4 linked regions of the Diceros bicornis minor genome follow. The protein of the gene in region 4 interacts with the protein of the main gene of each other region in a biochemical or structural test. Links are inferred from orthologs where the notes say so. Each region holds a gene or a part of one and is shown on either strand. Other genes may lie near its edges. The genes, in order: NFKB1, JAG1, NUMB and NOTCH1.

Region 1 (6,974 bases), on a different chromosome or scaffold from region 4:
CCAGATACACTTTCCACTGCAGTCATCTCTATGCTCGGAACAGGACATCTACTAATAACTTCTGAAGAAGAAGAAGATGGTATTTTGACTACTTTATCAAAAATCCATATGGAAATTCAGATATTTTTTAAAATTTATTGTTTTAAAATGTCAACTACTGTTCTTACTTCTCCCAAGTTCACACTAATGGAAGGTTATGAAGTAACCACTTCCCCCCAGAAGCCAGAACTTTCACCTTTTCTGAACAGGGGAATACCTCTCATAAATTAGGTAAAAAACAAGGTCCTGCTGATCGAATAATAGTCCAAGATCCCTGTAGCTGCCAATTCCTTATCCAGACCTTCTATCTACCACAAGGAGTAACCTCTGATAGTCAAGGTGGTAACTTACTTCATCAATTATCTGGAAGGCTGAAAGCAGTAGTAAAAACAACCTCCATAAATGTTAGTTTCTTAAACTAGCTTCAATTTGTTCCAAAGAACATGAGAAGAGAAATATGAGGAATATGATCACTAAAACTAAAATTCTGCCATTTCAGACTAATTGAGCTTTTACCAACTACAACTCAGTCATCACAGACGATCTTGTTTAAGAGGTAGAAGTAAGAAGGAAGTGCAAAGATCAAAGCAGTGCTTACAAAGGGGAACAACGATTTTTGTATGTATATTCCAGTATTTACTAACCGGGTCTGAAAAACAGGGGCATTTATTCAGCCCATGTGAACGCCAACTGCAGAACATAAGACAAAATTGAAATTTCAGAACAAAGATAATAGAGTTTCAAATCACCACCGATCCCTAACTGCATTATACTATTTCCTTTTAAAAGCCTTTCAAACAGGTTAGAAGGGGTTTACTGCTGACGGCAAGCAGCCCTTCAGTGCCAGCACGAAATCTCCACATAATGAGTCTTTCTTTGGCTCATGTTTGTCCAGGAGACTGTGGTCCAGGAAAACATTCTATCTAAACAAGCCCCAGAGGGCACTGAGGAGTTGCAGGTATAACCAGATGGATGAATAATTTCAGTAGATTTCATTTTTCCGTCTATTATATATGTTCTTCTCACCTTAGCAATTCAATTACGTGATAAACATAAAATGTTACAGGAAACAAATCTTTTATTTCCTGTCTTCCCAAGTTTGTAAGCTCAAAAAAATACTTTGCTTTAAATTATTTACATAATTTCTTTAGTGCATCAAACAGTAAAAGGATTCATCTCTAGAAAGCACAATATTAAAATCAGGAAAACAACATAGTTCAGCTAAGGGCTTTATTTTACTCAAGATTCCCTTTCAAAGTTTTAACAAACACTAATGCAATTTAAACTACTCAAGAATACTCAATTGAAGTATTCTGCTAGGAAAACAAGCACTGAACATCTTGATTTCAAGCTTTAGTGTCTACCAAAGAGCAACAGTTTGTAGAAGAACATTTGTATGCCAGAGCTATTACATGTTTTAGTAATACCAAGGCATTTTCTCAGATTATGGGCTTTATAACAAAAATTTTAAGCTAAATATAGTTCTTTAATAAGCTGAATGCTGAAAAACCCTACTCAACAAAGTCCATGAAAACGCCTTAAATCTTGACAATCAAATACCGTATCATTAAGTCCCATTTAAGTTTCAGGTTAGACCAATAAATCAGGGCAAACATCTCCATTCCGTACTTATTTTTAAAGACCACAGAAAGCTTGTATTTAGGACAGGCTTTGTTTATATCATTATGTTTGCTTTAGAGGTCAGGCACAATACATGGTGCCGTTGTTCAAGTGTTTCACATAATCAGAGTGTCTAAAAAGTGCTCTAAGTAGGTAATTTCTTTTCTTTCTCAAATGCCAGGCACTGTAGGATCAGCACCAGACCCTCCTTGTTTTCTTGAAGACTAATGTAGGGTCCTAGAGTAGGTGAGTTGAGTATATTATGTCGTGTGTGTGTGTGTGTGTGTGTGTGTGTGTGTGTGTGTGTGTAGGGGGGATTCTTTTTGGAGTAAGGGACGAGGGCATCAGGCTGTCCTCCTCAGTCTAGAGGGCCGAGGAGGGCTCTCCCAGCCTAAAGGACGGCCATGCACTTCTGCTTTCATTTCGTGAACCGCCCGGCGGTGAAATCTGGTTCAGCACTGCACGCAAACGCACCCCCTTCCCCTCGCTCCTCGGCGCCGCCGAAGCGCACCTCCACCTCAAGCCGCCCCTAGCAGGGGTGGGGTGGGGATAAAGCAAGTTTGCAAGAGTTCGCCCCGGTTCCCGGGCCCGCCCGGCGCGGGGACGGGAGAGAGAGGCCGGCCAGGCAGCCGCGGCCCTGCGGCCGACCGGCTCCTGCGCGGCCCGGATGTGCCTGTCTCCCTGTCGCCAGTCCCATGTGCCTCGCCACTCCTGTCAACCTCCTCCCGCGGGCTGGCCCCGCGGTGGCGCCGGAATGAGGAAGTCCGAAAGGGGCTGCAGGGGCTGCAGCGGGTGGGCGGCGGGCCTCGGGCACCCGGCCCGGCGAGGCCCCCCTCGCCCGAGGTGGCTTACCCTGGTGGCGGGTCCGCGCGGCCTCCCTGCGCCGGGGGCTCCCTCCGGGGGCGCGGGCCTGAGCGCTGCGGAGGGCAGAGGCAGCGGCCGCCGGGGCGGAGCGGGTCTGGTGCGGGCCGGGCGGGTCGGGCCGGGGCGCGGTCTCGCCGGCCAGGCCAGTCAGCGGCGCGCCATGTCCGCGGCGCGGGCGGAGGGAGCGCGGGCGCGGGAGGCCGCGGCGGGGAGGCCGGGCTGCGCGGGGCCGGGGCCGGGGCCGGGGCGGGCGGCGGGCGCGGCCGAGGGCGGCGGCGAGAGGCCCGAGCGCCGGGAAGGGCAGGGGAAGCTGTCAGCGCGCCGCCCGGCCGCGCGGGTGGCGAAACCTCCTCTTCCTGCCCCGGCCCGCCGGTGCACTTCTCTCTCGTTCTCGCTCGCTCACTCTCTCACTTCCTGGCTGGAAATTCCCACTGACGTCGAGAGAGCAGACAGACAGACGGACAAGCGCGCACGCCGCGGGGGCGGGAGGTGGGGTCGCCGCGGGGGTGGGGGAAGCCCGCACTGGTGGGGCGCGCGGCGAGGGGCGCGCGTGGGGCGGCGCGGCCGCCGGGTCCCGGCGGAGCCCGCTCCCCGCCGCGCTCCCGAAGGAGCCACGGGGCTAGAGCGGCGGGACGCCCCCTGGTAGGCCTGCGGGGCCGGCTGTCCCGGGCAGCAGGCGGCGGGGCGGCTGATAGGGTCGGGCGGTCCAGGGCCCCTAAGGACGGGCCCAGGCATCTGGAGGGGATGATGGGTCGGCACGGGGCCAAGCATGCTGTGTATAAAAATAAATCCCATCTGTATAGTCCATGTAAGTTGTCTCAGTTACGCTCAAATCTCTTCACAGATTAAACTGGAATTTCTCTATCGTAACTGAATTCTGTCCAGTGAGGTCTGAACATCTACTGGTTGTTGGTGAGATCTTAAATCTCCTGGTTATGACTGTTATTCAGAACTTTCATCTACAGGGCATTGTCAGGCCTTATGATAATACTGTGGATAGAGTTATAGTGATGGTGGTAGCAATGGTTTTGGTTCACAGCTCATAAAGAAATCCTGATCTGGCAGAAGAGAGATTTTCTCTTTTTAATGGAGAGACTGCTCCTGGAACCCACGGACAGATGTCTCCGGTGACCACCGTCCACTAGCATTGAGCTTCTCTACGTGCCAGGTGCTGTGCTAGGCGTGGGCTGGGGATCCCTTGGAGTAGATTACCTCCCCAATAAGAAATCTTGAGTTGGAATCGGTGCTTTAGAACTCATTGTCTCAGTGCTGAGTTCAGTGACAACTGTGTAAATTTAACTTGAAAACATCCGTAATCACGGGATCACTAGGCAGTGTTGCTGTGGCTTTAGATTGCTACTAGCAAGTTCTGCATGGTCCTTTCATGCCCACTGCCTGGCCTCTCCTCTCCCTCCCCAAGGTTATAAGAATCTTCTTGGTGGAGTGTTGGGCAGAGGAGTAGAGATGCATTTATTTGAGTCTGGGATGAGTCTCTGCAGGGACCTCGGGACCAACCAGCAACTTACAGTAGTCCTCTCCTGTTCAGAGTTTCACTTTCTGCAGTGTCAGTTACCCCAGGTCAAACACAGACATCCTCTGCATCCACCCATCAACTGGTTATGGCTCCATGATCCTCCTCTTAACCTTTGTCAGAAGGTCAGCAGTAGCCTAATGCTACCTCCCAATGCCTACGTCATTCACCTCACTTCATCTCATCACCTAGGATTGTATCATCTCACATCCTCACAAGAAGGGTGAGTACAGTACAAGAAGATGTTTTGAGAGACGGAGAGGCCACATTCACAAAACTCTTATTATAGTATGTTTTCATAATTGTTCTATCATTATTAGTTATTGTTCATCTATTACTGTGCCTAATTTATAAATTAAACTTTATCATATGTATGTATGTATAGGAAAAAACATGGTATATATAGGGTTCGGTACTATCTGTGGTTTCAGGCGTTCCCTGGGGGTCTTGGAACATATCCCCCGCATTCAAGGGGGGTCTACTGTACCTTTAAGCAATTTCATTTTAGCTCCCAGAGGCTGTCTGAACAGCTGGAATGCAGGGAATTTATACAGACTGAAGATAATGACTTTCTAGAAACCCTGTGTTATTATTTATGGAACATTGTTAGAAATTGTGCCAATATTATATTTTAGTAGATTAATATATGGTTTGCATAAAATCATTTTTGCCACTGACATGAGTATAAAGAGTGCAAACTCCCATGAAACAACAAAGTGTGGGGGAAGTGGTTTTTTTCTTTATGGGGTAGATGTGAGCATTCACACGCTTCATGCCAAAAGAATGGATAGTCGGGATCTTTAGAAGAGTAGAGCTAGCCTGACATATTTTGGGAACAAAAATCAACGAGTGTTAATTAGTGTTAATTAGAAGAGGATTAAGTTAAATTTCAGATTCAAAAGTATCCCATAGAATGAACTTAGAATTGAGGGTGGGGTGTTAAGCAGGTGTATTAGTTTCCTAGGGCTGCTGTAACATCCCAACACAAACTGGGTGGCTTAAAACAGCAGGAATGTATTCTCTCACAGTTCTGGAAACTAGAAGCTGTTGGCAGGGTCCTGCTCCCTCTGAAGGCTCTAGGCAAGAATCCCTCCTTGCCTCTTCCTAGCATCTGGTGGCTCCTTGCAATGCTTGGATTCCTTGGCTTTTAGCCACATTACTGCAATTTTTGCCTGTCCTGGTGTGGCCTTTCCTGTGTCTCTCCTGTGTCTCTGTATCCAAATCTCCCTCTTCTTCCTCATATTAAGACACCAGTCATTGGTTTAGAGCCCACCCCAATCCAGTATGACCTCATCTTAACTCAATTACATTTGTCAAGACCCTATTTCCAAATAAGGTCATGTTCACAGGTACCCAGGGTTAGGACTTGAACATATCTTTTTGGGGAACACAATTTACTGCACCACAGGAGACAAAATTATAAAAGCCCCCAGTCAACTCCTTTTGGCTCACAGCTAACCTTCTTGTATTCCTGCTTTGTTTCCTAACACTTTCTCTACACCGTCTACATGTTTGCTTCCAGGAATCTTGCTTACAAATTCATCCATTGTAAGGTGTCAGAGGGCATTTGCCATTATCAGGCTACAGAGAAAGAAATGCCTAAATGTGGGATTTCAGGCATCAAGATTATAGAAAGAGCAGTTGTGTTCTGTTTGTCACTAAATATTTGAAATCACATGAATTTCCCTTCTCATGAAGCTGAGTATTGGAAATGTTGGTGTCCGGAGAATTCTGAGTGTACATTGACAGTGAGAAATTATTTAGTGTGTGAAGGGGATTCACAAATACAGACTCATACATCTGAGTGTTACAAACTCTTAAGACCCATGTTGGGGATAGAACAGTACTGAATTGTATTTCTGTAAAGGGTACAACCCGCTTCGGGTCATGAAGCCACCTCAACATGCTTAGAAACACTCAGGTCACAGCTCTTAGCAATGGGAGCCAAGATGAAATGGAAAGACTTCACTAGACTCGAAATCTGGCTTGAGTTGGAATCCTGGCTTTGCCTTGAATTATCTGTGTAAGTTTTGCCAAGTAATAGTTTGTATGGGCTTCAGTTTCTTCACCTGTACAATAAGCATAACATGATAGCTTATATTATACACTGTATAATAGCTTTATATAATGTTTGTTTTTTTTGTGAGGGAGATCAGCCCTGAGCTAACATCTGTGCCAATCCTCCTTTTTTTTGCTGAGGAAGACCGGCTCTGAGCTAACATCTATTGCCAATCCTCCTCCTTTTTTTCTTCCCCAAAGCCCCAGTAGATAATTGTATGTCACAGTTGCACGTCCTTCTAGTTGCTGTATGTGGGACGCGGCCTCAGCATGGCTGGAGAAGCAGTGCGTCGGTGCGCGCCCGGGATCCGAACCTGGGCCGCCAGTAGCGGAGCGACGCACTTAACCGCTAAGCCATCAGGCTGGCCCTATATAATGTTTTATATTATATATGTTGTATTGCTATGGTCTGAATGTTTGTGTCCCCTCAAAATTCGTATGTTGAAATCCCAACCCCCAGGTGATGGTATTAGGAGGTGGGGCCTTTGGGAGGTGCTTAGGGCATGATGGCAGAGCCCCCATGATTTGGATTAGTGCCCTTATGAAAGAGACCCTGAGAGCTAGCTCTTCCCTTCCTCCATGTGCAGACGCAATGAAAAGTCTGTGATGTGGAAGAAGGCCCTCACCCAACCGTGCTGGCACCCTGATCTCAGAGCTCCAGCCTCCAGAACTGTGAGCAATAAATTTATGTTGTTTATAAGCCACTCAGTCTGTGGTATTTTGTTATAGCAGCCCAAGTTAGCAGACGAAGAAAAGTATATGCACATATATATGTAACAACACATATGTTGTCTTATGTACATATATAACAGCAATATATATGTTATATTATAATAAGCCAACCTCACAAAGGTCTAGAGAC
Region 2 (7,776 bases), on a different chromosome or scaffold from region 4:
TCTGCTCTCACACACTGCTTCCGCCTCCTTCCCCACCCAGGACTCTCTGCCAAGTGTCAAGAGGGGACAGACACACCTTCTAGGTCACGTTTCCCTAGCCAGCCTGGGGAGCAAGGCTCCCTGTTTTCATCCAAGCCGTCCTCTGACCCTGCTCTCCAAAATGAACCTCAGCCAGGCCTGCAGCTTTCCCACATCACTAATAAGATTCCTTTTATGGTCTTGTGAAAAGCGAGGGGCTCCAGAGGATCCTCCGGAGGGTGGAACCACCTGCAGGCCCCTTCCCCCTAAACTCCAAACACACGTTCAAGGGCGGTCAGAATCCACAGTCATTGTGGGCCCAGCCAGATTAAAAAGCGGCCAACCTCTTTAGCTTAAAGTTCTCCCTAATAGGGGATTAACAAACAAGATAAACGCTCTTTGTAAAAATGAAATCCCACAACACAAGCAGCCCTCCGTTCTCAGAAAACTCCACATACCACAGGTTTTTATAAACCTCTTTTAATGGCATGTTTCTGATAACTGTCTTATCTCACCCACGGCAGAGGGCACTTTACAATGCCAGCTCCTCTAAACGTGGGCCTTGAAAGCCACTCCAAGTTTTACGGCAGACATTCTCCCCTCCCCAAGTGGCGAATCACAGCCCCAGCCCGCGGATAGGAGGCAGCAGAGCGCACCCCATCAGAGCACGTGGCGCAGAGTATTCCCCCGGGGCGCTGAGCTCCCCCTCTCAACACCCACCCTCCCAGCACAGGCTCGGCCAAGCCCCGGTCCTGGCAATGAGTCACGCCTCCGGGACAGCAGGAGGGGGGCAGAGGGCACCAACATTTTTCCCTTTCCTCTCCTTCTGCAATCACACTCATCTTCCTTCCACCCATTTCAGGATGTCGTAAAGGCCTCGCTGCAGGTTCTGCCAGCGGGGGCCCGGACCTCGAACAGCACCGGGGGCTGGAGGGGCGTCCATGCACTTGCAGCCGCAAGGACTGCTTCTAGCGGGCCGCCCCTTCCAGGTCTTGGCACGCCCCCGAAGGCTTGCGGGGGCTGTGCGCCCGCCGGACAAGGGCGCACCCCCGCCCTTCCCGGGGAAGTTTGCAAACACAGCTGTTCCAGAGCCCGGGAACTGCTGGAAGTTAGGCCACAAGGGCTACACCGCGCGGGGGCGAGGGCAGGAAGGGGCCGGCAGGGGGCGGAGGCTCCCGGGCCAACAACTCCGGCGAAGGCCCGAAGACCCCCCCCACCCCCACCCCCTGCGGCGGTCGCCCCCGTCCCCTTGCGCCTAGCCGGGAGCGCGCCCCCGCACGCACCAAAACCTCCGGGGCAGCAGCGGGAAACGGGCTCCCCCACACCCTCCAGGAAGGACACACCCGCCCTCCGGGCCGCTCACGGGAAAGGGGAGGGTGCCAATTTGGACGGCGTTCGAAGGCCAGAATTGCGCGGAGTCCGCCTTTCAGGGAGCATCGGGTTTAATTGGTTAAGCAAAGATCATTTGGGGGGAGGGGGTGGGCAATTACTCTAGAGCCTTCAAGTTGTAAGTTTAAACCGGCCTTCCTGGGATCTTTGCCCCACAATCCCCTCTGGGGTCTCCACTTTTGTGCGCTTTGCAAAAAGCAGCGGAGATGGGGCCCGCCGAGTTCTAACTGTAGAATCTTGGCTCCCTAACCCTCCACCCCAAACGACTTCCCCAGTTACCGCCGAGTTTCAAGCCAAGACCCTTAAATCCCTCTCACAAGAGAAAGCAGGGCTCGGCAGGCGCGGGTGCGAACCTCGGCCGGGCCTCCCTCCCTGCGTCCGTCACTCACCGGCCAGGCGAAACTGAAAGGCAGAACGATGCGGTTACGGTCGTTGCCGCGACTGCCCTTGAGGTTGAAGGTGTTGCCACCGATGACAGGAGTGGACCCCGAGCCGAAGCTGCAGGGTCCCCCGGCCGTGACGCGGGACTGGTACTCCTTGAGGCACACTTTGAAGTACGTGTCACACTCGTCGCGGGCGCACTTGCGGTCCCCCGGGTTCCGGGCGCCGCCGCAGCAGTTCCCGTTCTGCAGCTCCCCGTTCACGTTCTGCATGGACAGGATCTCCAACTCGAACTGGCCGGAGGCCCCGCACACCTGCCGGAGAGGGAGCGAGGGAGGTCAGCGCGGGGGAAAGTTGTTTTCTTCGAGGGTGGAAGTGGCGACTCCCTAACCGCCTGCCCCGACGAGCCCTCGGCGCCAAGTGAGAATAATTTTGCAAAAGTGGGTGCAAGGGCTCAGCGTTATTCCCTGGCATGAAGTGCACGAGTGCGGGAGAATCAGACGACTGCCCCCGGGGAGCAAGAGGGGAGCGAACGCGCCCCCTGCCCAGCCTAGAGGGTACATTTAGAAGGCTGGGGGCTCCCCCAGTCCAGGTGTAGCTTCTCGGGCGCAGGGGCCCAACCACGCAGCCAGGCGCCCGAGGGCTCCCGAGCCCGCTCGCGGCGCTCAACCGCAGGCGTCCGGGACGCCGCGAGGGAAAGGAGAGGGCGGGCCGGGAGGGAGGCCCGGCGGGCTCCTACCTTGGCTCGCAGGGCGCAGAGCAGGGCGAGCAGGAGGCTCAGGGGGCGCCCGGGCCGGCCGCGCGTCCGTGGGGACCGCATCGCTGCGCCGCGCGCCGCGGGCACTCGGGAAGCCGCCGCCGCCGCCGCTGCTGCTCGCGCTGGTGCTCCCACCGGTGCTGCCGTCGCCGCTGCTCCTGCGGCCGCCGCGTCCCGGCTCTAATATACTCCGCCGATTGGAGCATGCACGACTGGAAAACAACACCACTTTTCAAAAGCCCTTTCAAGAGCGGCCTGTTCCAGAAGGCAAAGAGCCCGGCCTCCTTTTATTATTCTGATCGCTTCTTTGAGGCGCTCCCCCTCCTCTTCCACCTCCCGGCTTTCTTTCCTTCTCTCGCGCTCCCCTTCTTTTATTATTATGATTATGCGCAGCCTTTTATTCCCTTTCAGATCAGCTGCATAGAAAAGAGGGAGGGGAGAAAAAAAAAAAAACCCCGAGCCCAGCTCGCGGGCCGGCCGCAGGTAACACAATGACGCGTGCCCGCCCGGCTCTCGGAGAGGGACTCGGAGAGCCCGTCTGGGAGCCGCGGCCCGGGCTGGCCACCTCTACCCAGCGCGCCGAGCAGGCGCATGCGCTTATTAATATTCATGAGGGGGCGTGTCCGCACAGGACACGCCCCTTCCCTCCCGGTTGGTGGGGAGGGGAGTACTTGGAGGAACTTTGAAGGCTTTGGGGGCTCGGGGACACGCAGGATGGCGAAGACGTCGGGGGCCCAGCGCAGACCCCTGTTCTCCCGAGCTTCGGGCCCGGGAGGGCGCGGGGAAGGGCTGGGAAGTGTGCTTTGTTCGGGGACGCCCCGGGGCCCCTCGCGCGGACCGCCCCCTCGGGCGCCTCAGCCGGGGCGTCTCTGCCCGCCCGTCGGGGCCCCAGGTGTAGGCGCCGCCGCGCTGCCTGAGCGGTGGGAGCGGGGCAGCTTCCGCCTTCCGAGCCGCCTGCGTCACCTGCGGCTTTCGCCCCGGGAGGAGGGTCTGCCCGCCGGGAGCCCGGCCCGCTTCCCGCGAGCGAGCGAGCCGCCCAGAGCACGCTGCTGGCGGCAGTAGCGGCAGAGGCGGCGGCGGCGGGAGGCTGGCGCGCTCGCCGCCGTCTGCTCGCCCGGCGGAGGCGACCCGGGCAGGCGCTGCTGGGAACTTTGAACAACTTTCCCGGAGCCAGGCTTGCCGCAGATTCGGGGGAAGCCTCGGCCGCGCCCCACCCCCTCCCAAATCCGAGCCTGCGGAGCCTCGAGGGCTCCCAGCTTCCTTCCCAAACCACGCCAGGGGCGAGAGGGACAGGAGACACCGCGGGGACAGGGCAGCGGGCACGCAGGGGCCCTGCTCAGGCGTTGAGAAGGGCGGGCAGAGATGCCGTGGGGCTTGGGCTCACGCCCTGCCCGGCCCGCTGCCCGGGCCGCAGTGCCGGGATTGCACCTGTAGGCGGCCTCGGAGCAGCTCTCTGGGTGGCAAGAGATGAGCGTGGAAGGGGCCGTCTCGCCGCCATCGCCAGGCAGCGGAACTTGGCCTCTCGGGTGGCAGTGGAAACCCATGCTATTTTCCACCTTGAAGCGAGCCTTGCAGTTAACAGCGACAACTCCCGGTCATAACCAAGGGCAAAGGAAACTTTCGGGCTGGCAGAAGCCTTTGCCAACCCCTCTCCCAGCGGACCTGCTGCTGCGTTTGAGGGGATCTCTTTCGGGAAAAGATAGATTTCCACTGAAGAGTGGACGAAGTTTTGGCCCTTAGATTGGGTATGTCCTGTGGAAAAGTGTGACCATCTAGGGAGCAGTTCGTGGCTGGAGCCCTCCAGAGCTGTAGAGTAGGATAGGCTGCAATGGGTCAGGGGAAAATAGTTTCCAACACGCTGATTTAGGAGAGCCTAAAAGAATGGGTAATTTGTAATGATTTACTTACTGCGTTTAATTGGAGGCTTACCAATCAATGGACAGTATTTTCAGTGCCAGCTCTCATCACACTGGGGAATAGATGTAAGGCTCTTCACGTTGGTTCAAAGCCACCAAGGATGGTTTAGGAATCGTGGCATTTTAACAGCCCAAGAAATGCTCCTAAGAAATGCACCTTCTTAATGATAGTGTGTTCCATCTTGGTGATCATTGATGAGAGAATTAACAATCTGTGTTTGGAAGGGACATACGCAAGAGAAGAACAAGTTTGCAGCAACCTGGGCATTTTGTCTTAAAGTGCCCCTGTCGTGTCGTGTCCGTGTCCCGTCCCCCCCCCCCCCCCGCCCCGCTTATCCTAAACGCAAGAGATCCAGTTGCCAACTGTAATCTCATTTACACTTTTCTCACCAAAGTTTACACACAAACCAATCTCTCCCGCCTCTTATCTGCCCCTCCTCACCTCTATCCCCGAATATCCCCTAAGTGAGGCGCTAAGCAATGCTTTAAAAACAAAATGCTGGTGCTGGAAAAAGCACCGTTCATTAAGGCTGGTGAAGTCTTAAAATGCACATTCCTTGGAGTTCCCCATGTCTGAATCTATTTTAACTCTGGGCCCTGGGGCCTGCGCCCTGCATACACCTCAGGAAGGAAGCTGTGGATGCAAGAGGCCTTTAGATGAAGAGTTTAGACCCAGCCGCCTGCTTAACCAGAGAGGGCTACCTCAGATTGCAGGTGCCTCCAGGTAGCCATCTGGGCTGCATGTAAGCTGGAGGTCGGCTCCAAGTCACAGGTGAATTTAGCCCCCGTCTAATAAGGAAAGGAACATAGATTTCTGAGGGGTCAAAACTATCTGGTTAACCTTAACAGAAAGGTCAAATCACTAATAGACACAAAATTCTCATGCCAAATAGCACGGTGTCCCTCACCCGTCCTGAGCCTGGGAACCCACTTTTAGAGAAGACAGTTGTGGGCTAGAGGGGATTCTTTTGAAAATTTTCAGTTGGGACTCTTTCAACTAATTGGTACTCCCCCAAAAAGCCAGTCACGTTTACCGCAACAGACTTCAAGTGGAAGCTCTAGCCCCCACTTCCTTGCAGCCAGTTCTCAGCTTCTCTCTCTGGAGAATGGGGAACCACTGTGGAAAGAACTCAAATTTGCAGATTCCCCCTTGGCCAGGTCATATCCTGCCTTTGGATATAGCCTAAAGTAAGTGAACATTCCAGAAAAAAGTTCCTGTGAAAAATACCGTGTTTAGCCGTCACACCTACACCTGTGAGAAGGGGAAAAGCTTGTGGTCAGTTACTATGCCATGGGCTCTAATCATAACCATCCTTGAGTATCTTCTTTCATTTTAAAAAGAGGATGCTTCATTTTTCTTTTTCCACAAAACTTACCGTACGTTTACTGAGTCATCAACAAATAGCAGTGCTGAATTCCCAAAAGGCTTAATAAGAGATGTTCTAGCTATAATAACTGTATTTAAATACATTTAGTCAACTTAAATTCCTGGTTAATCAAGACTGATAAAAATCAGCAAATCAATATTTATTGAGAACTATGTTACCTGCAGCAACATGGATTATCTCAAAAATATGCTGAGTTACAGAAGCCAGACACAAAAGACTACATCTTGTATGAATCCATTTATATGGAGTTCTAGAACAGGCAAAATAAATCTATGGTCAAAAAATATCAAAAGAGTAATGGCTTGGGGAGATGGGAGAGTGGCGATGAACTGGGATGTGCTTGAAGCCTCTTCTGGGGTAGGGGTAATGTTCTGTATCTTGAGAAGGGTTTGGGTTACACAAGTGTATGCACTTGTCAAAATTCATTAACTACTACACATGACTGGTGCCTTGCATTATGTGTTCAAAAGAGAAAAAAGTTGTAATACTGAACTTGAGTTAATTATATGAGTGCTGAAGTATTTAGAGGGAGGTGAAGTGATATTTGCAACTTGGAAATGCATAAAAAAATTAGAGGGCTTGGTGGATGGATGGAAGATGGCTGGATGGATATATGCTGAAGCAGAATAGTGAGGTGTTAATGATAGGATCTGTGTGGTGGGCATCTGGTATTCACATAAAATTCTTTCAAATTTCTCTATGTTGGAAATTTTTCACCACAAAATGTTGAGGAAAACAGTTACTGATGTGCCAAGTATTGTGTAGGGTGCTAAGAATGTGGTGGACAACACCAAAATATTGGACGTAAACACTTCAGAGTAGAGAGCATGCTTTGTAAGGGGTGATGATAATGTAGATGGTAGTCATGAATAAGAAGGAGATGGTTCCTTTTCCCCCATTCCTTTTCATCCTAATTCTTTTCTTCTTTCCAGTACATAAGAGAGAAAGGTCCAAATATAGAGAAGGGACATGTGAAATATCCTTTAATATCTTTCTTTTTCTTTGAACATTGAAAAAAAGTTCCTACAAGTTCACAAGCCCTCTTCCATGGAAAACCAGATGTGGTATCTTTCTGTCCCTTCCCAGCTTAACCGAAGGATGCTCCGATGTCCTACAAGCTCTTCTCTTGTTCCACCACTTTACTGTCTTAGAAAATGCAAGCTCAGGCCCTGCCCTGTGGCCTAGTGGTTAAATTCGGCGCACTCTGCTACAGCAGCCTGGGTTAGGTTCCTTGGTGCAGACCTACACCACTTGTCAGCAGCCATGCTGTGGCGGGGACCCACATACAAAATAGAGAAAGACTGGCACAGGTGTTAGCTCAGGGCAAATCTTCCTCAGCAAAAAAAAAAAAAAAAAAAAAAGCAAGCCCCCAGTAAACTCTGCCCAGCCAGTTCCCCAAGGAAGCACAGCATCTGAATATACAGCTACCTCCATGGATTATTCTCATTCTTCCACGTCACAAGAAGTTCTGAAGGAAAAAAAGCCCAAACCAACCTATGGGCAATGAATTAGATGTTAAAAAAATCAGGTTAAAGTTATAGCTCCCATAGTAACCATAACCAGGCCACAAGTTTATACATTCAAGCATAAATTGAATAGATCCAACCATTTTTTTCAAAGCGTCATTTTACATACACAGGAGATCTGAGTTAATTTTCTTGGGAAACCAGAACTATGAATTTCTTGCTTTATCGACAGTAATTTTGTATGAGCTTTGTTTTAAACATTGTTTTGGTTTTGTCTTGAGCTCAGTTATTTATGATTTTGCTTATCTTGCCCCAATCTTGTCTCACAGACATTACGTGGAAACCTATCAGGACAAATAGAGCCACATGTCCATGTCCCCTTTGAAAAACCAATCACAGGGGCTGGCCCGGTGGCGCAAGCGGTTAAGTGTGCGTGCTCCGCTGTGGCAGCCCGGGGTTTG
Region 3 (7,908 bases), on a different chromosome or scaffold from region 4:
TGAGCCAGAAAGCAGATCCATCCTGACTAAGCCTTGAGATGACTGCAGCCCTGTGAAAGACCCACAGCCAGAGAACCCAGTTAAGCTACACTAGGATTTCTGACCCACAGAAATGGAGATAATAAATGTTATGTTACTAAGTTTTGGGGTAATTTGTTATGCAGCAAAAGATAACTAATGCATATCCCATTTTGTTGATGAAGAAATTGAAGGTTAGGGAGATGAATCAACTTTCCCAAAGTAACACAGCTAGTAAATGGCAGAGCCAGGATTTGAACACATTTAGGTTCAAGTTTACTTTCTTTTTTTTTTGGTGAGGAAGATCAGCCAAACATCTGTTGCCAATCCTCCTCTTTTTGCTGAGGAAGACTGGCCCTGGGCTAACATCCGTGCCCATCTTCCTCTATTTTATATGTGGGATGACTGCACAGCACGGCCTGATAAGTGGTGTGTAGCTCCGCGGCCAGGATCCGAACCTGCGAACCCCGAGCTACCAAAGCAGAGTGCATGAACTCAACCACTAAGCCACTGGGCCGGCCCCAGGTTTACTTTCTTATGAGATTCCAAGTGATGGGGAAACTGGAGTTCTATAAGGCATTCTACTCTCTGAAATCCTTGGAGTGTAGCCATGTTTCCAAGAAACTCTGTGTGTGTGTAAAACAGGGATGGACAAAAGTTTAAATGGTGCTGAGTATTTTAAGCGGCCTACTCCCTGCTGCAGAAGAATGGCTGATCTAGCCATAGATCTGGTGATAGTAACCAGGGTCTCCATTCAACAGCACAATGGCAGAGCTAAAAGCTGCAGCCCATCCATTTTACAAGCACTCAAGCCATCTTACCTATAATATGTAAGGCGGGTAAAGGGGTAAACACACTTTTCTTTCTTTTTTTTTTTTTTTGTGAGGAAGATCAGCCCTGAGCTAACATCCATGCCAATCCTCCTCTTTTTGCTGAGGAAGACCGGCCCTGAGCTAACATCTATTGCCAATCCTCCTCCTTTTTTTCCCTAAAGACCTAGTAGATAGTTGTATGTCATAGTTGCACATCCTTCTAGTTGCTGTATGTGGGCCATGGCCTCAGCATGGCCAGAGAAGCCGTGCATCAGGTGGGCGCCGGGGGTTCTGAACCGGGGCCACCAGTAGTGGAGCACGCGCACTTAGCCACTAAGCCAGGGGGCCGGCCCCCACACACTTTTCTTGAGGATGAAAATGGCTGCATTGAGTAATGAGAAGGTATGGTTTGCTATTTAAAAATCATATGAGCCCTCGAATTGGAAAACAAATGGTTCTCCCCTAGAGAACACCCTCCTCCACTGATGTGTGTGCGCGCGCGCTCTTCTTCCCCTCCGTAGAACAGAGCCTTGAACTTTGAAATCACAGAGCTTTGTTCCTGCATGGAAAGCAGCTTGGCACTTCCCTGTGTTGGAAGCTCCCCAGTTTGGGACGGTAAAAACGTCTTCTTCTAGATAGTTTCCCTTTGTTCATCCAGAGCTTCATGCCAGTGGTCAGTTTTACGAAATCTAATAAAGATACATTCATTGGCGGGCTGCATGAATCTATCCTTCCTTGTCAGCTTTGCCCTGTGCCAGAGCAGCAGGTTTAAGCTCAGGGAGGATTTCCAGGTGGCAATAGAGCAATGGTCCCACAGAGTAGAGTTCTGGCACAGTTCTCCTTTTAACTAGTGGCAGAGGCTGCCTTTTGTTGGCGTAATTGTGCAACCTGGTGTAAAGTCCACAGCCAGGGAGTGAGGCTATGACTCTATCTAAGCTAGCTCAGCACTCTGTGGCCTCTTGACTCTTTCCAGCTTTCCTTACCCTCTTCTCTACTGGCCTTCTCTCTCTCATCTCTATCTCTATATCTCTATGTCTATCTCTCTCTGTCTCCCCCTCCCTCCTCTCCAATCCCTTCGTCCCTGTCAGCCTCCACCTTCAGGGATTCCTAACTCAGGGAACCACCTCTTATCAAATATCTTGGCTTGCCTCCAACTGCTAGGAGCAGGTGGCTCTGGCTCTTGTCTGCTGAGTGATTTTCTTCTCCACCAGTTGTTTCTCTAACCCACTTGGAATTGTGTGTAGAATCCAGGAGGAAAATGTCCAAAAACAAAAAATGGAGCTTTTCCCGAGTGAGATTTCCCCCATGGACTAAAATAGGAATGAAAGGAGACTCAGATTCTGCTCCCTCAAAAAGCGATACGATGAAAAGAGGGCAGGAGTGATAAAGAAAAGAGAGTAAAATGTAGCATTGGCATACACTAAGGCCCAAGGCAAACCACTCTGCTCCTTAGATATTGGGACATCACTCTGAGTCCTTCATTTGCCACTTAATCAGGATTTATAGAGGCTATTTTTGCCTTTAACATACCTGCCATCTTGGTCTTGCTCAAGTGGCTCTGAAGAGATACCATCTGCACCACCTCCACAGCCCGCCACACAACACAAAGCTGCAGACTTCCTGACTCCTGGAGTTCTCGCTTTCTAAGAGGGGGCCTTGAGAGTGGTGGAGAAGCACATAACACAGGACAGAAAAGAGAAGCTGGATGGAGCAGTTACGTTCTAAGGTTACCTTGTGCACGCAAAATCAAAACATAGAGTCCAAGCAATAACCTTTCCAGTACTGCATTGGCCTCCATAACACAATAGCCTTCTGTTGGATCAAAGAACATTCCTTAAAACTTTCTTTCTTTAAGGTTTTCTCTCTTCTTACTGGGTTGTACATGTTTAATTTTACATTTCTTTTCTTCACTGATTTTCACAAGGAATGGGAGTGGTAGAAGTGTATATGCATGTATGAGCAAAAACGTTTAGTGTATAAAATAGAGTGAATAGCTGACATTTGTGGCAATTTTCCTAGTTTTGTGATAGTAATTTTGTTGAGTTCCTGAACTTAGATGGCAAGCCCTCTTAGTGAGGCTGGCCTAAGTCTATGTTCTCTGTGGCACCTAGTCACTAGGGCTGTGCAAGAGTCATTATTACCCAAAGTACCATAATAATGGCCATGCCCTCCCATGACGTTATTGTTTCCTATCTGCCAGGACATTAATTGCCTTCTAACTTGCTCTAAAATTGGTAGGTAGGGCACACTGCCAAGACTAGAGAGAAGAAAGCTGCTGGTAATATATTAAAAGCCTGTGAAAGGACATACTGATACCTCCTTCTCATTGGAGCATCTTCATATTTGCATGTTACTTCATTTGTTATGGGATATTAGTTCAGGCTTGCCTTATGTCTTGGATTCCATCTTATCATGGTCAATGTCTGATCTTTCCTTCAACTGAATGATTCAGACATCTCTGAAGTTATTTTCGCTTTTCCACTTTCCTTTACAGGCTTTTTATGAGTCATTGAATTGAAGGGGAGGTTACTTCTAAATTGGAAGGTGGGGATGAGAGAAGGGGGAGGAAAGTTCTGGAAAATAACTAGGAAAAGACACCTTATTGTTATGTATATTTACTGGAGGAATAATTTCCGCTTAGTTTGGTTATAGAGGTATGTAGTTTATTCAAATTTGACTAAAAATATAGGCTAGAAAATACACAATTTTTTCCTGGAAAACGCACCATACAGTTTTAGAGTCCTTGCCCTGCAAAGGACAGGAGGGTAAATAGGAGATATGAGACAAAGAGTTAGCAGGAAGAAGAAAGGGGCAAAGCACAAAATTTCCAAAGTCCAGATTCTTGGTCCCACAGGAAGTTCCCAATCATAAAGCACCGCTTGTGAGGGGAATACCTCCTTGCCCTGTCCCAACCCATCCCTGGGTGTATGTTTCATGGCCCATGGGTTTGTGTATTATAGATGGAGTTGTGAGGGAGGTGCGTTTAAATTTGCTTTAGAAATTGAAAGAGTAATCAGGCCAGCATTTTGTTATTTAGGAGCCGGAAAAGTGAGTGGACATAAAAAAGAAAAGCAAAAAGCTAATGATAGATACATTTCTAGGAGCACTAGAGTTTTTATAGCAACACCAGATTTCTCAAAAGTGCCTACTGTGATTTGTACCCAAACGAATAAAAAAAAGCAATCCTTTATTCTTGCGCATTGTGCCAATGTGAGAAAAGAACTGCAATTCATTCAATGGTTCTAATTTAGACCACTAGGAAGAAGAGAGGTTTAGAAAAAAAGACAAGCTTTTTAAGTATCTGACACACATCTACTACGGCTATTTAAGAACTGCTGAATATAAAAATCACGTTGTGGGGGCGGGGGCGGGGGGGTGCGGACTTCTCATTTCCAGAGCATCACAAGGGTAAACTGTAGTCCAAACTTGCCGATGGCTGCCTGGTCACTTCGCAGGAGCAGGGGTGAGTCTGGAAGCTGGAGAACACTCCACACGCCGCTTCAGTTTATTAACGACGTTTATAATTGCAACCGAAGTGGACTGATTTCTTCTAAATAAAGTTGTGCTTTGCCCTTTAGCATAGAGACTTCTGGAAAGAACTTCAAGGAAATTGAGCGCATTGAGACCTCAAGAAAAGAAGGGGAAATAAGCTTCTCCTTATAGGGAGGGAGCTGGAGAAAGTGATGAGTTTACAGTCTGCACTCTACAACAAAGAGTTAACCTTTCTCCGGTAACCTCGGATGTGAGCGTCAACCCCTTCCTTGCTTTCTACTGCGCAACCAAACTGTGCCTAAGCTTGAACCAACCGTGGCGGTCATATCCCTTGCCAGTTGACTTAACAGACACTTTCGCCAGCCTATCATAATTTCGAACTGCCCAACCGTCAACCAATTACGACTAAAGCTTGGTCTGGGACGCTCCAGGTCCGGGCGGGTGCTAATACCGGGTCCAGGAAAAGGGGCGGTGAGGAGGCTATGACGGACAGGTAAATCAAGCCAGTCAGAGCAGAGAGCAGCCGCCCCACTATCCAATGGACAGGTAGGAAGTATGAAACGGGGTGGGCCTGTTGTCATGGGGGAGGTGGTGGCGCTAGGTGGCTGCTGGCGGCCGAGGTAGAGGCAGTGGCGCTAGAGTTAGTCGCGGGCAGCGGCAGGTGAGTGCCTGTAACGCAGGCCTGAGGTTTGGGGCCGTCGCGGGGCGGAAACTCCAGCTTGGCGCTCCGGAGGCGGAGGCCAGAGGCAGAGGGCCTGGACTGCGGGCCGGGTCGCGCCGGGGCTGGGGCCGGGGCGGGGGCGGCGGCGGCGGCGGCGGCGACGAGTTCGCGCTGACTGGGCTGGTGGGAGAATGGCGTGGCTCCCGGCCGCGGAGTTCGCGTCGGCAAGGTAGGCTGGGGCCGGACCGAAGTGGGTCAGGCCGGAGTTCCCTTGGGACGTCCAGCCGCTCGGGTCTGGGGCACTGACCGGCGACTGATGTGTGAGGGTTAGGTCCCTGGGGAGACGGGAGAGCGGCCGGAGTCCCAGAGAGGGGGTGACCTGCGGTGACCGGTAAAGATCTGATCCGAGGGCGAGTGATTCGGGAATACCCGGGACAGCTTGGGTGCAAGGGAGAGGGGGAACCCGGGAAGCCCGGGAGCGGCCCGAGCGGAGGGAGCTGGGGGGGCCGGGACACTGGGAATGGCTCGGGTTCGAGGGAGAAGGGCGGTGGGGAGACCGAGGGCGGCCGGGGTCCGAGGTGACAGGGAGCGGCCTGGGTTGGGGCAAGGGCGTCTGAGGAAAGGCAGGGAGGGGGCTGGGGACCCTCCTGAGAAAGGCCGCTGTCCGAGGGAGGAGGGTTCCTGGGGACTTAGGGAGCTGCGGGAGTTAGGAGGGTCGGACCTGTGGAGACCTTGACCAGCTTGGGGAGGACCCGGAGCGCCCGGCCCCCTGCCGCTGGTCTGGGATGGGAGACCCCAGACTGGGCTGGGACCTCCTGGAGCTGAGGATCCTCGGTGGACCGGGAAAAATATCCTCGAGGCGTACCTCGGGTTTAAGACTGGGGACGGGGGTGAGGGGTCTGGCAGGGGAGTGGAAGTTTTCTCAGTTGGAGAGGAGTCAAGCAAAATGACACGGGGGTGGGCGGGGAGAAATAATTTCCTTGTAGGAAGGGAGTAGTAGCTAGGGCGCAGTAGGAGGGAGCGAGAAAGTTGCTTCGGAACAGAGGAGTGGTCTTGTGGAAACCAGCCAGAATAGTAGATATGAGAAGTTAACAGTGGGGTCATTAATAGGTTCTAAGGACTTCAGAAATAGAAGACACTTCCTAGCTTCATAATACTAAGATGCCGTCTAGGACCTGAGGAAAGGTCCTAAAAGCAAGACTAAGTGACTTGCATTCCAGTGCTTTAGAAAAAACAATTGTTTTAAGATGACAGCAGTAATATTAGAAAATCAGGACGTTGACAGGATGGGGAATTTGAAAGGGGAAAGGGGAGGAGTAGCTGAACTAAAGGAATAGGACTGGGGACTTGATAAGACAGGAGAGTCGCGAAAAGGATAGGCATATCCTTGCTAAATTAGAAATACGTTTGAATTCCAGTTCCACCACTTAGCTTGAACAACTTAACCTCTCTGTGCAAAAGTTTCCTCCTCTGTTTAATAGGGATAATAATAGTTCCTACTTCATAGGGTTTTTTTTTTTCCTCATGACGTAGTATTTGTAGAGCTTTTAGAATAGTGACTGGCACAGAGTAAGCGCTGTGTACTGGATTGTTAAATAAAGGATAAAGACAGACCTGAGTTCTTTAACGCAGCAGTTCTCAAACTAGCTTGCACCAGAATCACTTGGAGGGCTTGGTAAAATACAGACTTCTGACCCTACCCAGAGTTGCTGATTGAGTAGGTCTGGGATGGGGCCTGAGAATTTGCATTTATCTCAGGTGATGCTTATGGTCAGGGGACCACAGGTTAAGAAGAGCTTGCTTTAATGAAAACAGTAATAATGTAGCAACTTGAAAATATCTGTCTACCCTGTTAGAGACAGGTAGAGGCAAATTGCAAAAAAGATCCTAATATAAGGGATACCTTATTTTAAGGCTATGTTTTTTCAGACTGTGGATCATGATTTATTAGTAATTTATGAAATTAATTTAGTGGGTTACCACCAGCATTGAAAATAAAATGAAATAGAATAGAACAGAATTGACTGGCACTGCACTTAGTAGGGAAAAGTGTTGTTCTGGGAAACTTTTCTCATACATGCGTGAACTAGGTCACAATGTAAAATGTATTGCTCACAGTGAAAAGAGTTTGAAAAATTGTTTTGAGCCATGCAGTGCAGCAAAAGCACTAGGGGTATCTAGGGACTGGGTTTATTATTTATTTCTTTATTTTTCTTCTTTATGTGGTAGTTCTTTCTCAGGTGGTGATACAGTCTATTAAATTTCTTCAGTTTCTGATTTGGTTTCTCCTGTGTTTGCCTTATCGCATATTGTGTTATGCCTCTTTTTAGAAACTGAGAATCTTGGGGGTGAGGATTTAAGGGAATTTGAAGCAGGGAAATGAAATTGACTGGTGTTTCTCAGATGTGGTGCACTCTTGTCTCTCTTGTGCCCTCTTGTTTACCTTCTCTTTTTTTTTTTTCCCACTGTACCTTAAAGCAGTGTCTGTAAAAAAAACCTGAGTATACACAGACATATTGACAGTAAACAACTAACACTGAAATGGGCTGGTTTGAGAACAGTTCATGTATAGAAAATAAGTAAAAACCAAGCACATTTTTCAAAAGAGAAAAGTGAAAGGGTGTTTCCTTTTTAGAGAGTAAATGCATCTTAAAGCTTTTTATTGCCTTACACTAATACAAAGCATATAATATAAAAGCCTTTTTAAGGGAACCGGATATACTTGTGTATTTTATATATCTAGATTTTTGAAGAGGGAATAGTGATAATACTTGACAGTAAAATACACCTGGGATAGAGGCTTAACTACAAAGTAAATAGTTTATTTTGCGGGAGCTATTGTGTTGATGGTTTTCTCGTTGGAGAAGGAACTGGATATCGCATATGTTGTAAATTTAACTTATTTGAGGGACCTAAATGTAATCT
Region 4 (7,571 bases):
CGCCACCAACAAGACGAGTTCCAACTTTTCTCCCCAACCTCACCTGAGGCCAGAGGGGAGTGAGCTGGGGAAGGCAGAGCGCTGAGAAGGGTGGGTTTGACTTTGAAACAGCTAATTCCTTGCTAAGAAGCATTGCCTGCCTGGAAGAGGCATCACCTGCCGGAGGAGAGGCTCACCTGCCTGGAGGAGGCATCACCTGCCCGGGGGGGGGGGGAGATGCTCACCTGCCCGGGGGAGATGCTCACCTGCCCGGAGGAGGCATCACCTGCCAGGGGGAGATGCTCATCTGCCCGGGGGAGGCATCACCTGCCAGGGGGAGATGCTCATCTGCCTGGGGAAGATGCTCACCTGCCCGGAGGAGGCATCACCTGCCAGGGGGAGATGCTCATCTGCCCGGGGGAGGCATCACCTGCCAGGGGGAGATGCTCATCTGCCTGGGGAAGATGCTCACCTGCCCGGAGGAGGCATCACTTGCCCGGGGGAGATGCTCACCTGCCCGGAGGAGGCATCACTTGCCCGGGGGAGAAGCTCACCTGCCCAAGAGAGATGGAGAGATGCTCCCCAGCTGGCAGGGTGGTGGGGGCTGGGCTCCTCTACAAATGCTCCAGAGCCTTCCTGGCAGCTCAGTTGTTTCTCAGGGACTTAGGAAGAAATGGGTTACCAGGAATTCTCACCTAGCCCCCCAGGAGCCCAAGGGGGCCCACAAAAAAGTGCTCAAACCTCCAGTGGCCAGACCAGCTCCACACGCAGCATAATTGCTGGTGATTAAGTAATTGCCAGACTTTGTCCAATAAAAGTAGCACGTGACTGCGCCCAGCCTTCTGGGCCATCTCCAGAAGACAATGGCCTAGTGTTCTGTCCCTGCCGGCCGCCACAGAAGGCAGGGGCTCTGCTCCCGACAAAAGCAACAGGTCCCCGCAGGGGCGTACTCACACGCAGGCTTCAGTGCCGTTGGCAAGCACTTCACACTTCCCGCCATTCAAGCAGCTCTCGCCGGGGTGGGAGCATTGCAGGCCTGGGGAGGGGCGAGAGGAGAGGTCAGCCCTCAGCTCCGGGAAGGGCCCACCCCCAGGGCACCGCCCACCCCTCACCATGCAGGCTCTGCCCTGTCCTGGGGTTGCTTGGGCCCCGGGGCCCCAGGAAGCCCCGGCCTGAACCCCAAGGCTTCAATACTCTGCCCAGAGTTCTGTAGTCAGAAATGGACTGCAGAGGAGGAACAGGCTGGCTGGGTGGCAGGTAGACGGGTCATGCTCAAAATGGGGTGAGGTGGCCTGAAATGCCCCCTGGACAGCAGTGGAGAAAAGCTGAGATGATCCTGGGCCATTCTCCCAAACTCCGCGCCCCCCCACCCCGTCTTCACTGGGGAGCTGGGCTGGGCTGGGGCCCCTATCCAGCCACCGGGATTGTCTTGCTGTTCAAACACGTTCTGCGAGGGGGCAGTGCTGGGGGGGGGTGGCCACACTCAGCTCCCCCGCTCGTGGGAAAATGCGACAGCTGCAAGGCCGGCCGCCCCGCCCGCCAACAAAGCGCTGGCCGGGGAATCAGAGCAGCCCATTGTCATGCCAGGGCCGCCTCCTGGGGCACCAGGACTGCACCCTGGGGACCTGGCCCTGCCTGCACAGACACCCAATACCTGCTCCTGCGGGCAGGCATCTTTAGGGGCAGCCCTCTGCCACACCCAGGGGAGGGGGATGAAAACGCCCCATTTGGAAGGAATTCGACCCCATCCCCAAGAAAGGATCAATTAATCAAGCCCCTCCTCCCCATCTTACCAGGGCTGTGTAAATTAAGCCCCTCACCGGGGCAGGGACCGGGTGTGACATAGAACCCTACCTTCTGGAAATGGGAAACTAATTCTCACCTCCAACATTTTAAGGAAAGAGAAAAATTAATCACACTAGATTCCTCGCAGCCCCCTTCGACGGGAAGTGGAGAGAGGAATACGCGCCCCCTTGCCAAGTCCCACTCTCCACTTCTGTAAGATTTCCAAACTTGAACTCGACAAAGTGAAAGTCCCACCAGTTGCAGCGGAGTCTTCCGCACCCCCGCACTCCCCCGCAAACTGTCTGCAAGCCAGGATAGGGGGCGGCCATCCGGCGTGTGGGGGACACCGGCGGGCGGGGCGGCTAGGAGCCCAGGGATCCCTGGGTTCGCGCCCCTCGACCAGCCCTGCGCGATCTCTCGGAACGGGCAGGAGGCCGGGCCCGCCTCGCGCCCCGCTGCCCACCTTGCTCAGCAACCACGCCAGGCCGCGAACGCAGCGCCCCGGACCCCACACTGCGCGCCCCAACATCCGCTCCCGGCGCGGGCCAGAGGCGAAGAAAAAAGATAAATGGCCCCCAAAGCAACAGGAAACCAAAACCGACTCGATTCAAATCGAAAAATAGTAGGCAGTTCGCCCGCCCGCCCCGGCGGCGAGCCCCAGGAGCGGCTGGTGAAGGGCGAGCCCAGGGCTGGGCCTCCGGGGCCCCCAGCCTCCCACGCCGGGCTTCAAACCCGGCTCCAGGCGCGGGCAGCGCGAGTCCGCCCCGGCAGGGCAGGCGGCGCGGAGGAGGGTCAGTCCTTCTCTCCCAGCCCGGGACTCTGTACCCCCTTCCCCCGCTCCGGGGCGCCCGGCCCCCCTCCCCACCCTGGCCGCCTGTTCCCAGCCACCCGGAGCGCGCGCGTAGGGCGCCGCCAAAGTTTCCGAAGGCGCGGAAAGTTGCGGGTTCGCGGGCGCACGGGCGCCTACCTCGTGCGGCGAGCGCAGGCAGCAGCGCCAGGCAGAGCAGGGGCGCCAGGAGTGGCGGCATGCCTGCCCGCCGGCTGCCCGCTGCGCCCGGTGGCGGCCTCCTGCGCCGGGCCGGCGAGGCTCGGGCGCACACACGCGCGCGCCGGACGGTCTCACGGGCGGCAGCTGCCTGCTACTGCCCTCTCCTTCCTAGCTGGCGGGCGGCGCTGTGCTCTCGCGGCCTCCGGGCCCGGCTCCACGCCCCGACTCGTTCTTTCGCTGCGCTCGCGCCCGCGCCCCACGCCCCTGCACTCCCTCCCGCGGCCGAGGCACTAGTGAGGCGCAGGCGGCCGTGCGCTCCGCCCCCGCCCCGCCGGCCCCGCCTCCCGGGGCCCCGCCCCCGCCGATCCCTCCGCACCCCTCGCCCTTTCGCTGGCCGCGCCCCTCCGCACGCTCCGACCAGCCCTGCGCCTCTTCGGGCTGGGGCGCGCGTCCGGAGCCCGGGTCCTCCGGCGTTGGGGGCCGCGGCGGTGCGGAGGGCTTCGGGGGCCGGCCTTGGGGACTACTTCTTGTTGGAAAGTTTTCAGGGGCCAAAAGTTTGGTCCGAGACTGCGGAAGGATCCGGCTCTGGCTGCTGCCGCGTCCGGCGACAATAGCAAAGATTTGCATCTCAATAGCAGAAGAGGCGCGGGCGGAGTGGGGAAAGGAGAGCCTGTGGGGGGCCGTGCGCCACCGGGACCTGGGCCCAGGGAGGTGGGGAGGAGCGACCGAGGCCAAGTTTGGGGGGACCCCGGGCTCAGGAGAGGGGCTCTGGAAGCAGCCCCGCCCTCGGCAGCCGTGGGTGCGCCCCTCGCCCAGGGGCTCCACTGCCAGGAGCCCCACGGTCGCAGCTTTAAGCCTCCGGGAGACCGAGGCCAGACACCCCTGGCTGTGACGTCCCGGGCACTTGACCTGAGATATGGTGGCGCTGCAGCCGCAGCCTCTGGAAAGGGGCTCTGGGTACCCCAAGGAACAGCTTGGAGCCAACACCTGGCCGGACGGATTGCGCACCCGCTCCTCAGGAGGGACCTGCCTCTAGATGCTCCTTGGTCACTATCGTGCCCCTTCTGGCGCCTCCCGCCTAACGTGCCCCGCAAAGCGCGCGCTGGTCAGGTAGACCCGCCGCGAGCGCCGGTGCTGCCCAGGGCCCCCCCAAGTGCTCCTTCCAGGTGATTTGTTTCTCCGCCGCAGTACCAGATTTGGGCATCCTGTGCCAAGCCAGGTTAAGCTCTGGACGTCCAAAACGCCTGCCATAGTCCCTACGAAATCAAAGTTCAGGGCCTTGCACTGGAGACAGACAGCCCCCCACCATCCCAACACAGGGTGGTGAGCGGGATGGCAGAAGGTACACCCACCCAGCCCTGGCATCCTGGTGGCCTTCCTGGAGTAGGTGATGCCAGAGGGGAGCCTTAAAGGCTGCAAGGGACTTAGCTGGGTGAAGGGCATGGGGCACAAGCACCCACAGGACTGCAGAAATCCCAGAGGCGGGCAGAGAAGCAGTCCTTGCCATGGAGGTCCAGAGAGGCGGGCAAGAGTGGGGTGCCTCGTGGTGGGCAGATTGCACACCTGACCCCAGCCCGCCCTTCTTGGCACACCTGTTGCTGGACGCTAGTGGCAGCTGAGATGCTGTTGTGAGCACAGGCAGTCCAGGCCGCGGCAGCTGCTCCTGGGAGCCTCCCTCGCTGCCTCGTCCCAGAAGCTGGCGGCACTTCTCAGAGCCTGGGCTAACTTCTCTCGGGGTCAGTGCCCGGGAGAGGAGGCGCCTGGAGGCAGCAAAGATGTTTATATAACAGCAGCCCTGCAGCCTGAAGGAGCAGATTTTCCGTAGAAGGAAGAGGGGTGCTTCAAAGTCCCTCCCCTGCCCCCCCTCCGCCAGCTCACAGATGCTGGCTCTGTGAGCCACATCCCCCTCTACTTCAAGGGATGGACCGAAGGCCTTAGGCAGGGCGCTCCTCAGAGAGCGGCTCCCTATGTGCCCTCCGTTAGAGCCCTCTGTCTCTGCCAATAGGCCCCAGGCCAGACGTAAAGGCCCGTCCAGCCCTGGCTTTGGAGGAAGTTCTCACCCTTCTGCCAAGGAGCAGCAATAGAGGAGGGGGAGAGGGAGGAGGGCAGTCTTACCTGGGTCTGCCCAGTGTACCAGCTCTACTCTGGTGTCCCCCCAGGAGCCGGGCGCTCTCGTTATTAGCCTGTGCTACAGACGGGGCAAGCAGACACACAGGCCTCCAACTCCTGTGCCCCTGGCCACCTGGGGTACCCCCTGGGCAACAGGGGCCGAGGAGACCCCAGGAAAGCCAGAAGTGGCTGGGGCTGGGGAGGGCTTGTGTGTGAGGCCCAGGACGGTCCTGGGCTGGGCCTCCCTCCCCTCCAGTTCTGGGAAGGGGGCAGACTGGACCATGGCAAGTGGTTGGGAAGCTTTTTCATTCACAAATTCGGCCAGAGATTTCCTGCCTCCCCTTCTCGTCCTTCTTTATCAACCTTCCGGGGTGGCGGGGGGGAGGTTGAGGGAGGGGAGGGAGGGGAGTCCTGATGGCCTAGGACCTGGAGACCCTCTCCCATGGGGCACAGCCTGGGAGCAGTTGCAGAAGTGAAGGAGAGACAGGAAGAGGAGGTGCATGTGGCCTGGCCACCCCACAAATCCCGTGGGGGGCAGGGGCTGGGACGCCATGAAGTGGAATTGGGGCACAGCAGTGTGAAGACATTTTGGGCCTCCTCTCCTGGCTTAGGGTGGGGGTCCAGACGAGGTTCGCAGGGCAGTCCCCTGCTGAGTGGAGATGCCCCAAGCTGCCTGGGGAACCTGGAACCAGTGGGGGGAAGCTGCAGGCCTGACTTGCAGGGGGTGACTTACTGCCACTTTCTTCTCCAGGGGCCACCTCAAGCTCCCCTGGGCCAGCTTGCTGGGCCCTGAAGGGGAGAAGGCCATCATGTTCCGTCTGCGCCCCGGGCAGACCGAGTCAGGGCAGCTCCCCTCTCTCCTGCCTCCAGAGATACCGGGGTGCCAGCATCAGGGTAGACTGAGGGGACCGTGCTGTCATTGGCCCATTCCTGCCCCCACAAGAAAACCCATCCCAGCCCCCTCCTGAGAGGGGAAGGGGTCAGCAGTGACGTGGTCTGCATGGCGCAGGGGGTGGTCAGCGTGTTGAGGCTCCCCAGGGTCCTCAGGTGCAGCCAGGGCTGAGAATCCAGGTCCTGGGGTACCGGTCACTTTCCTTCCTGCAGTGACGGTCTTGGTGCTTCAGGTGCACCCCTGTGACCCCTGAGCCCAGGGTGGGGTGGCATCATTCTCGCGATTTTTCTGAGACATTGAAATGAGACTGGCTTGGAGTCAGGCCAGGTTGGGGCCCTAGTCTTCAGCAGGCAGGTGGGCCCCCCGGAAGGGTGTGGTGGGCTGTCTCTGTACGTGACAGGGCTGGGCATACATGACAGGGCTGCCCTCCCTGCTGTCAAGTATTGTTCACAACGTGGGGGCAGCAGGTCAGACTTAGGGTACAGGCACAGGCCTGCTTGGTGTGGGCTACAGTGGCCCCAAACACCCCTCAGGGGGGTTGTCTGGGGGAAGGGCTTAGAAGCTGAGCTGAGGGTGTGGGGGGCCTGTGATGGGTGCACAGGCCTGACCTCAGTGGGAGGTGCCGGTGCTGGTGGGGGCAGCTGTGGGAAGATTCCAGAACACAAGGGGTAGGGCCCATCCCCCTTTGGAAGTTGATTGTAAAACATATCTGACCTTCTTACAAAGAGAGGGCCTGGGGGCCTGAGAAGTGTCCAGCCTCTTATCTTGCCCCTTGTCCACCACAGCCAGGCCCACCACTGAGCTCTGACCGGCTGGCCCATCGAGAGACCATCACTGCCCCCTGGGCCTCAGTTTCTCCCTCCACCAAGTGAGTTCTAAAGTCCTGCCTGCCTTTTTCCATGGAAAACCAACTTCTCCTAGAGGTTTGCGCACTTCTCCAGGACGTGGTTTTAGCAGCTGTGTGGCATTCATTGCTGCGGGTGGACAGGCCAGGGCTGGCTCCCCAGGCTCCGGTGCTGGACGCTTGGCTGTGAGCAGCGTGTCTCCATGTGGGGCATGGGGGGTGCCCACTAGCTCCTCGCTGCTCTTTCCTAAGGATGGATTCCGGCCCACCTTGGAGGGCTTCCCCCTCGTTCTGAGAAAGGAGGGGGTAGACTGGGGTCTAGAGTTTGCTTCTCTGCCTGCCCCTCACCCTCCACGCAGGGATCCACTGTCCCCAGGCCCAGGTGTGCACCCAGCTGTCTGCACTGGGAGCGGGCTGGCGGGGTCACCTGCAGGTGCTGGGCATCTCCCCCGGCCAGCTTCACCAGGCCTTACCGGGGAAGACCCCTTGTGCCCTGCACCCCAGGCAGGCTGCATCAGGTCAGTTCTCTGCTCTGCACGTCTTGTCCTCTGCTGAAATGACCCCTCCCTCCTCCAGAAAGCCATTCCAGAGCCCTTGGGCTTCCCCGCTCCCTGCATCCATCTCTGGCATTCCAGGGGGATGTGCGATCCCAGATGCAGGTGCCCCCCACTGATGCAGACTGACCCTTGACTAACGGCAGGCGCAGTGAATGCAGGACTCTGCACAGGGCCCCGCCCTGCGGGGGTTCCTGTCCACCTGCCACCCACAGCAGTCACTACTTGGGAGCCCTGAGGCCTCTCGGCAGCTTGGGGCCAGGGCACCAGTTGGTTGTGAGCCCCCCTGCTGCCCCCGGGGGCCCAGGAAGGAGGGTCTGCATCCTAGAGGCAGGCACAGAGGCTGGGGAGCATGTTGCCCGGGCAAGTCCCCTGACAGGCAGCCTGCCTCCCGGAGCAGGTGAGCTGTCTATCTTGGGT

Evidence for each region.
Region 1: the proteins of NOTCH1 (region 4) and NFKB1 form a complex in vitro, tested with the Homo sapiens proteins (2 studies listed by BioGRID). The link is inferred for Diceros bicornis minor from reciprocal best matches to the Homo sapiens genes NOTCH1 and NFKB1.
Region 2: the proteins of NOTCH1 (region 4) and JAG1 form a complex in vitro, tested with the Homo sapiens proteins (3 studies listed by BioGRID and IntAct, with this or other methods). The link is inferred for Diceros bicornis minor from reciprocal best matches to the Homo sapiens genes NOTCH1 and JAG1.
Region 3: the proteins of NOTCH1 (region 4) and NUMB form a complex in vitro, tested with the Homo sapiens proteins (2 studies listed by BioGRID). The link is inferred for Diceros bicornis minor from reciprocal best matches to the Homo sapiens genes NOTCH1 and NUMB.

Annotation. Positions count from the first base shown.
Region 1 is NC_080747.1:84,937,302-84,944,275, reverse strand, and holds the start of NFKB1 (nuclear factor NF-kappa-B p105 subunit), read right to left. Parts: upstream 3,015-6,974; 5' UTR 2,512-3,014; intron 1-2,511.
Region 2 is NC_080758.1:38,196,640-38,204,415, forward strand, and holds the start of JAG1 (protein jagged-1), read right to left. Parts: upstream 3,002-7,776; 5' UTR 2,609-3,001; coding exon 2,528-2,608; intron 2,103-2,527; coding exon 1,797-2,102; intron 1-1,796. UniProt on the Homo sapiens protein: Ligand for multiple Notch receptors and involved in the mediation of Notch signaling. May be involved in cell-fate decisions during hematopoiesis. Seems to be involved in early and late stages of mammalian cardiovascular development.
Region 3 is NC_080763.1:21,565,684-21,573,591, reverse strand, and holds the start of NUMB (protein numb homolog), read left to right. Parts: upstream 1-4,898; 5' UTR 4,899-4,983; intron 4,984-5,189; exon of another isoform or gene 5,190-5,212; intron 5,213-7,908. UniProt on the Homo sapiens protein: Regulates clathrin-mediated receptor endocytosis. Plays a role in the process of neurogenesis.
Region 4 is NC_080767.1:42,289,245-42,296,815, reverse strand, and holds the start of NOTCH1 (neurogenic locus notch homolog protein 1), read right to left. Parts: upstream 3,015-7,571; 5' UTR 2,793-3,014; coding exon 2,732-2,792; intron 1,016-2,731; coding exon 934-1,015; intron 1-933. UniProt on the Homo sapiens protein: Functions as a receptor for membrane-bound ligands Jagged-1 (JAG1), Jagged-2 (JAG2) and Delta-1 (DLL1) to regulate cell-fate determination.